Coturnix japonica: one gene and its partner. Each later gene encodes a partner of the first gene's protein in a complex. Links are inferred from orthologs where the notes say so. Each region holds a gene or a part of one and is shown in the gene's direction. Other genes may lie near its edges. The genes, in order: TNKS2 and SH3BP2.

Region 1 (4,549 bases):
TGTGACAAATCAATACTTAGGATCTCTGAGAGGTACTCTGCCACGAGTTTCCCCAGCAGAAGACAGGCTCAGGGGGACCTGGCAATGCCCATTCCCCACCTGCACCACCTTGGGGGCTGCCTGAGGTCCACTGGGCCTGACCCACACCACCTCTCTGAACCCCATGATCTGAAGAGGAAAGGCAATGCGGTGCTTCAGGAAGTAACCTAAATTCTAGGTCTAAGCATGAAGGTGCTCTTTTGTTATTTATTCTGTGTTTCTCCAGTATTTTCAGCCCTGTTCGTCTAGCTGGTGTTAAAGGACACAAATCACAGCACTGCAGAGGAGCCATTGGGAAGCTCTGAGATGGTTTCAGGCCCACACACCATATCTGTGACAGTTTGTGCCAGAGCGTTATGGCCGCACGTGTAGCAGCAGATGAATTATGTGTGTGACAAGCTGAGGAGGAACAGTAGCCATGGCCTGACATTTTCCTGCCTACTGAGCACAGCTTGCATGGGGAAGAAAGCCAATGGAATGACACGAGGCTGTTTGTCACAGTGTGTGCTTGCTGTCTCTGTGCTGGCTGCATCCTCTGGTCACAGTTCTGTTGGCTGCGTGCCTATTTCTGGGTTAAATGACACAGCCAGGGGCACTGGACCTTGACCTGTTCCTGCAGCACAGTTGTGGCCTGGGCAGCTGGTACTCTCCCCATAAAAAATCCTAGGTGCAATTTAGACCTTAGCAGGGACAGGCAGTTTGGGCTTAGCTACCTTATTGCAGAGTGGAGTGGTGTTTAACAGAATGGAAGTGACTGAATGGCACAGATTAGCAGCTAGATCCCTTTCCTGGCTCTCGGGCAGTCTAATTTACTGCTGTAACAATAGCCTGCAAGTTCAGTGAGTTTGGAGGCATTTATCCTTCCTGCCTGTGGAACAGGAAGCTCCTGGCCCCTATCAACTACCTTTTCCAAAGTGTTTTTGAAAGATTATAGCACGAGTGGAAAAATACATTTCAAAATTACCAAATTAATCCTATTCTAGTTAGTCCCATCTAAGCTCAGACTTCCCCATCAGGCTTGTTAGGATTAAAAGAAAAAGATTCTCTCCATTCTTCTTCAAATCCTTGAACTGGCAGTCATAGAATCACAGTAATATAATATAATCATATAATTTAATCATATAATAGCTTGAATTGGAAATGACCTCAAAACCCTCGCAGCTCTAACCCCTGCTGTGGGCTGGGTCAGGGCCCCATCCAGCCCATTGCTGGGGCACACACAGCTCGCTGGGCAGCAGTGCCAGGGCCTCACTCCCTCCCTCTTTTTTTTCAGGATAAAGCAAACAGTTTAATTTCTATCATTCCCATTTCCTAAGTATGCAAACACGTATTTTTGAGTAACATGTTTTGATATGTAAATAACTACTTTAGGATTTTTTATTTTAATTGCATCAGGAAGTTCTTAGCACCAGAATGCTTAACGTTTCTGGGGAGGGGGAAAAAAAAAGTCCTTTATTAGCACATCCTAATGGATAATTCATTAAGTAGCACGGGATCGCTTCTACAGCTGTGGAACCACAGACCACCCTCATCCCGCAGCAGCAGCCCGGCCCCGCGGCTCCGCTCCGCCTCCCGACCCCACGTGTGCCGCATGCGCGCCGTGTCCGGCCGACCCCTTCCTGGCTGCATCGAGGCAGCTGCTGGCTGCGGTATCGCGGCCGTTCCGCCTGGATCCCTCCGCCGCGATGCGCCGGGCCCAGCGCCCTGCACAGCGCCCTGCACAGCGGAGCGAGTCCGGGGCTGCCGCCGCGCGGGGCCGCGGGCTGTGAGCGGGTCAGCGAGGGCCGCTCGGCCGGCTCCGTGGGGCTCGGCCCGGCATGGCGGCGCGGCGGTGCGCGGGCGGCGCGGCCGCCTTGGCCGAGGCTCCGGGCTGCGGCGCGGCGGTGGAGCCCGCCCGGGAGCTGTTCGAGGCCTGCAGGAACGGGGACGTGGAGCGGGTCAAGCGGCTGGTGCGGCCCGAGAACGTGAACAGCCGCGACACGGCGGGCAGGAAGTCCAGCCCGCTGCACTTCGCCGCAGGTACGGCCTACGGCCGCGCTGCCGAGTCTGCGGCGCCGGGGGAGGGCCGAGGGTGGCCGGGCCGCGCATCGCCGCCTCCCCGAAGCGCCGAGCACGTTCGGGCCGGGCGGTGGGGCGGCCTAAGGCCGTAGTCGCTGCTGTGGGGGCGAGGCCTTGTCCCCGCTGTCCGGCTGCCGGGCTCGGTGGGGCCGGAGGCCTCTCGCGTTTCACGAGTAAATGAAACGGCCCGGCCGTGGGGCTGCAGCACCGAGTGATGGCTCTGCAGCACCGAGTGATGGCTCTGCAGCACCGAGTGATGGCTCTGCAGCGGCCTGTGGGCTCGGTCAGCTCCGAGTGTCCCCGTAGTGCTCCTAGTCCCTCTGCAGCCCAGCTCGCTGAGCCTTTCTCCCACGGATGGTGCCCGACCGACAGCACGGTTCCGAAGTTGTTTTTTTTTTTTGCATTTGTGTCGTTAACAAATAGACTTTGTTAATTTGGCACTTAGGCAAATAGCTGACATCACAGAACAACTGCTGTCTCTGGTGGCTGGCCGGAAGACTGTATACCACCTTTTCAGACAAAGACACGATTGTGGCTGTTGTTTTCGTGTTGTTTCTCTGGTTGGATTGCAGCCTTAGCGGCAGGGCCCTGGGGTAGGCAAGGGGCAGCAGCTTTCAGCTAGAAAGTGCGTATAACTAATAACGAAGTTTGTTCCCCCAGTGAATTATTTTAGAAGAGGTTTCTAATTAATATGTCATTTTCTCTCATTCAGTAGCTTTAATGGATTTGAGTTCCTGAGAGCTACTTTTTCAGGACAGCTGTGATTTGCAGATTTAGGAAACTCGATCAGCAGGAAAGCCCAGGGGACAACATAAAGCATCCTGTCAGAGGAAGGGAGTTTTGCAGCTATTTTTTCATAAACCCCAGCCCTGCCTCATAGCTCATAAACTTCTAAATAAATGAGACTGTTTAACAGCATTTTGTAGATGTGGGTTGTTAGGTTGCTTGTTGGTTGGTTTTTATTGCTTATTTTTGTTTTGTGCCTGAGGGCATAGGCAGTGACCTAGTTTGCCTCTCTGGACAGGGCTGATCTGTCTTGGCTTTATAAACCAGAACTTCTAACTTACTGAAAACTTCTTTTTTTTTCATTAAATAGGCAAAGAAAGGCAAAAGTGTGAGTAAGTGCTTTTGTCCTTGCTTCTATCCCTTTCAATCTGAATGCAGAGAATTTAAATGTGTTTCTCATAGGACTGTAGGATGTACAAAAAGTTTCTGGCTAAGGCAGGATGTAAAATGCACGTGTAATGTCTTGATGCAATGCGCTTCCACTGCTTCAGATGGGCTGACAGCAAAAAGGGCTCTACCTGCAGTAGGCTCAGCTTGCAAGTTGGCCATAAGCAGCTCCTTGGGTTGGAGGTTAGGAATATTTTTGTTTGTTTTGCTTTTTCCATGTTATTTTCAGTTTGAGTAATACCAGCTTCTTTTGTCTCTGTTGCCTGAAGGAATTACATTCCAGGAAGCAAAAGCAAAAGTCTTGTATTCTGGCTTTGTTTAGCCCAGGTTCATGTTCTTAGAAAAAATGTTACAAAACTTCTCTGACTAGTTTCATTCACTTACGAGGCTTTGTTTTGTGAAGAGGTGGCGCTGAAACATGAAGATCGTTTTTGTGTTGCCATTTTTCTCTTTCAGGGACACTCTGGGTCCTGAACCCGGTTCCTTTTTCTTTTCCTTTAAATATCAATGTAACAGAAAAAGGAAACAAACTAACGCAAATGCTCTTTTTTTTTTTTTTTTTTTTCTTTTCTCTCTGTGTCCTGAGTAGTAGCTCTGCTGCTTTGCAGTAAGAAATGAAGTGTGCTGGTGGGACCAGCTATCTTGCATTGCTTTGAGCTGCAATAATATTTAGTTGGTCTTCTGATGGAAACTTGAGAGCTAAAAAGAAAAGCTTTAGAATAGATGAATATTGAAGCCATTCTTGCAGCAGTGGGCTACTAGCAAAGGGGGAGTCACTGCGGAGTGTGTGCCAGTAAGGGCTGTGTTCCTTGAGCATGCAATAGGAATAAGAAAGGTGATTGCACAGAGCCTGACCCCCTCCTCTGCACACGTACTCCCATAGGAAATGCTTCAGTATGCTGTGCCTTCTGGTAGGGATGCTCCCACAAGGCTGTGGGGAGCCCCTGCAGCACACTTTGTGCTGAAACCAAGTTCCAGAAGCTGGTCTGATGCAGATGATCCTCTGTCTCCACTCTACCATAACGGTGGGTGGTTTGGGGGTGTTGTTATCCCCCCAGTAGGGGCGTATTTCCCAGCTGGGCTGGCTTTGCCCTGAGAGAAGCTGATGTAGGAACTGTGTTTGATTGAACCCACATACTGACTGGAGGGCCACAGAGTGAATTCTCTACACCTATAGTGAGGCTTGCCACAGCTCACTAGCTGTACTGGTATGGATTGACGCTCACATTGGTTTTCTGTGTTCAGAACTGTGAGCACACGGCAAAGTTTTGATGGACAG
Region 2 (3,482 bases), on another chromosome or scaffold:
GGTGGTTGTCTGAGACTGACACGTGGATTTTTACTTGCAGATTATGACCAGGAGGAAGATGATGAGTCCTACTTGCAACCAGATACTTCTGACATAGTGAAAGATGGTATGTGATTGCCTCTATTCCCTCCAGAAAATGCTGGCAATTAAGATCAGTTTGTGTAGGATGTCAGATCGCTGTTTCTTAGTCATACCTTAAGCACTTCAGGTGACAAATTAACCAATGAAAGGCATAGGTATCAAATCTTGAGAGGCATTTAGGGTGAAAAGAGCCTAGTAACAGCAGTAACAGTTTCTGGAGGGTCTGCTGCCCTGAAGGACCTGCATGTGGTCACCAGTCTGGAGGAGGGGGTAATGCTTTTTCAGTAGTCTTTTTCCCTTTATTTCCAACATTGGGTATTTTCTTTGTGCAGATATGGTCCTGCCCCCAGCCTACCCACCACCACCGGTCCCTCATGTCCGAAAAGCTGCCTACTCAGAGTCAAGGTCACATTCCTTTAGTGGAAAAACTGCTGGGTCAGCACCACCACCACCACCTCCAAAAAGGAGCTTACCTGAGATCAAGTCAGATGATTTCTTCGGTGTGAGAGAGCCCCAGTTACAATGCCGAGCTGAACCTAACCTAAAGATTCAGTCTTCCAGCCGAAGACCAAGTGAACAGCCACCTCCTGTACCCCCATTACCTCTTTTCAAGAAGCCTTTTTGTGTCAAAGAACCTTCCTCACTGCCTCCGGAACCTCTCCCTCTATCTCACGTTCTCACTACTCCAGAAGGATGCGAGAAGCTAAAATCCTTAAACCTTTCACCACGGACTCCTCCTCCACTGCCGAGCAATAAACCCAAGTTGTCCCAGATAACTGAAAAAACAGTAGAAACCAAAGTGCCAAGAGAACATGGGAAACCGGGACTGTTTGTGCCACCAGTGCTTCCAAAGCCACCCGTGCCAGGCCACCAGCATCCTGTACCTAAACCTAGACCAGAGAAGCCTCCGTGTCCCCAGTTACAGTAAGTGTGAAAATACGTCCCAGTATCAAATAAACCTTTATGTCAGAAAGTCAGTGAACCTCAAAAAATGATTTTAGACCTCTATGGAGACAGGAAATGGTTAAGATCAGCTTTATGAAGGGAGGTGCAACTAGCTGTGCTGTTTAGGCAGCTGGAAATGTTTTTGTCTGCTGGATTGTGCAGCTTTAGAGAAGGAATGAAAAACTCTTTAAATGCCGTACAAGGAAGAGAGATTGATTGATTCATGGAAGTGAGTCCATCCACCAAGATGTTCGGGCACATGATACGTGAGGAGAGGCTGAGAGATTTGGGTTAGTTCAGCCTTTAGGAAGGCTAATGGAAGATGTCACTGCACTCTATTGGGAAGGCTAGTTGAAGGTGTTACTGCTGTCTACAGCTACTCATTGGCAAGGCAGGGAGATTACAGAACAAAAGATCTGCAGTGATAGGGCAAGAGGCAACAGACAGAATTCGTGACCTTGGAAATTACAGTTAGTTATAAGTTGTAATTTCACCTTGTGGATGATCAACTCAGAGAGGCTGTGGAATCTCCGTCCTTGGTGATACTCAACCAGACACAGCTGCCTGGGCTGTTTGGACCTGCTGTGTGCAGGAGCTTGGGCTAAATCATCTACAGCTGTCCCTTTCAAGCTACATTGTTCTGTGATTCTTGATGTTCCAGTTTTATTACCGTTTCAGTGCTTGGTATATTTGTTCTGTTTTCATTGGAGATATCCTTCAGTTTTTGTTCTGTTTCTGCCAGGAGATCACCACCAGATGGGCAGAGTTTTAGAAGCTTCTCATTTGAAAAACCAGCGCTGCCCTCCAAGCCAAATCAAGTGAATGATGATTCTGATGATGACTATGAAAAAGTAAGAGCAAACAGATGATATATATTTTTTAAAAGACCATTTTTCCTGCTTTCTCTATAGGAGAGCTCTGGGACATGATTGGGGGTGAGAGGGGAGAAGGGGGTGGGGGGGAAAAGAACCTTCTGAAAATGCAGCTCTTTGTGATTTGTAGATTTAAGGAATGCCTTTATTAATTCTGGATTGTAGTCATTGGTATACAGGAGGAAGAAATGTCAAGTTCAGATTAAAACATTATTAACAAATTCAGATATCAGCAGCTGTAGCTTGTTTGGATACCATGTTAGTATTTTGTGTTTTCATTGTCCTTCATGGTCACTTAATTTCTTTGTATTTTTCTACAGGTTGAGTTGCCTACTTCAATATTTCTTAATACCTCTGAATCCTTAGAAGTTGAAAGGTAGATGTGGCTTTCAAGTTACTTAAAATCCTATAAGTATCTGTGTTGAACAGTAGTTTAAAATCATTTTGAGATATATAATTTGTGTTTAAAAACATGGTGATATATTTGAATCACTCTGCTTTCCAGCAGAGATAGTTCAGTGCTTGTGTATCAGTTGAGAAAACATAGTACTTATAAAATGATCCTACCCCCTCTGGAAATTATTGTTCTGCCAGGATGCTAAGGGGACAGATCTTCTGTGACACATCACTGATTGATATGCTAGAACAGTAAAATTCTGTCTAATATGATGTAATATAAATTATTACAACTGAAACAGATTTGTAACGAAGAATTGGCAGCAGTGTGCCCTTGTGGCTAAAAAGGGTAGTGTTATCCTGGGGTGCATTAAGAGGAGCGTGGCCAGCGGGTTGAGGGAGGTGATGGTCTGCTCCTACTCTGCCCTGCTGAGTCCACATCTGGAGTGCTGTGTCCAGTTCTGGGCTCCCCAGTTGAAGAAGATGCTTTCCTGTGCAACCTACTTTAGTAAGGTGGGGGTGACTGGACTAGATGATCTCCAGTGGTCCCTTCCTGCTCCTATAATTCTGTGATTACAAGAAGCTACATGTTAATGTTTCCTGGATCAGATAAGTAACATATGTCAATATTGCACTGTTTTTATTTTAGGATATTTAAAGCTACTAGCCCAAAGGGACAGCCACAGAATGGATTATACTGCATTAGGAACTCATCTACTAAGGCTGGAAAGGTAACTTGCAATTGCAGAATCTACCCCTACAAAAACCTTCAGGATTTAGTGATGCTGTATTTTTACATGTTAAAAGTACTTAGATCTTCTTGCTTATTGTTAAGTACTGAAACAATTGCTATTATATCTTCAGTGATTTTTTTAATAGGCCAGTCAGCTGGTTGTAAATAATTCCTTAATTATACACTGACTTCGAGTTTATTAGTGTAAACTGATTTTTGTTGCACTTTTCGTTGTTAAGGTATTAGTTGTATGGGATCAATCTGCAGAAAAAGTGAGAAACTACAGAATATTTGAAAAGGTGAGTGGCTCTCCTGTATATGAAGCTTTTGTATATGTTTACATCTGTATGATATTGTGTATACATATAATGTGCAGGTATATGCGTATGTATCACAGTTAACAAGTCAAACTTACCCCAGCCCTAAAAGTAAATGTAAGCTGCTTTACAGGTATT

What was found.
Region 2: the proteins of TNKS2 (region 1) and SH3BP2 are in contact, whole or in part, in a crystal structure (PDB 3TWR), measured with the Homo sapiens proteins. The link is inferred for Coturnix japonica from reciprocal best matches to the Homo sapiens genes TNKS2 and SH3BP2. Residues at the interface, in NP_079511.1 of Homo sapiens: Arg525, Ser527, His531, Phe532, Gly535, Tyr536, Asn537, Arg538, Leu560, Asn565, Ser568, Tyr569, His571, Asp589, Trp591, Phe593, Glu598, Lys604; in NP_001116153.1 of Homo sapiens: Leu413, Gln414, Arg415, Ser416, Pro417, Pro418, Asp419, Gly420, Gln421, Ser422, Arg424.

The regions. Positions count from the first base shown.
Region 1 is NC_029521.1:17,299,814-17,304,362, forward strand, and holds the start of TNKS2 (poly [ADP-ribose] polymerase tankyrase-2), read left to right. Parts: upstream 1-1,645; 5' UTR 1,646-1,856; coding exon 1,857-2,058; intron 2,059-4,549. UniProt on the Homo sapiens protein: Poly-ADP-ribosyltransferase involved in various processes such as Wnt signaling pathway, telomere length and vesicle trafficking.
Region 2 is NC_029519.1:74,760,330-74,763,811, reverse strand, and holds part of SH3BP2 (SH3 domain-binding protein 2), read left to right. Parts: intron 1-40; coding exon 41-106; intron 107-413; coding exon 414-1,005; intron 1,006-1,768; coding exon 1,769-1,877; intron 1,878-2,218; coding exon 2,219-2,274; intron 2,275-2,943; coding exon 2,944-3,025; intron 3,026-3,266; coding exon 3,267-3,326; intron 3,327-3,482. UniProt on the Homo sapiens protein: Binds differentially to the SH3 domains of certain proteins of signal transduction pathways. Binds to phosphatidylinositols; linking the hemopoietic tyrosine kinase fes to the cytoplasmic membrane in a phosphorylation dependent mechanism.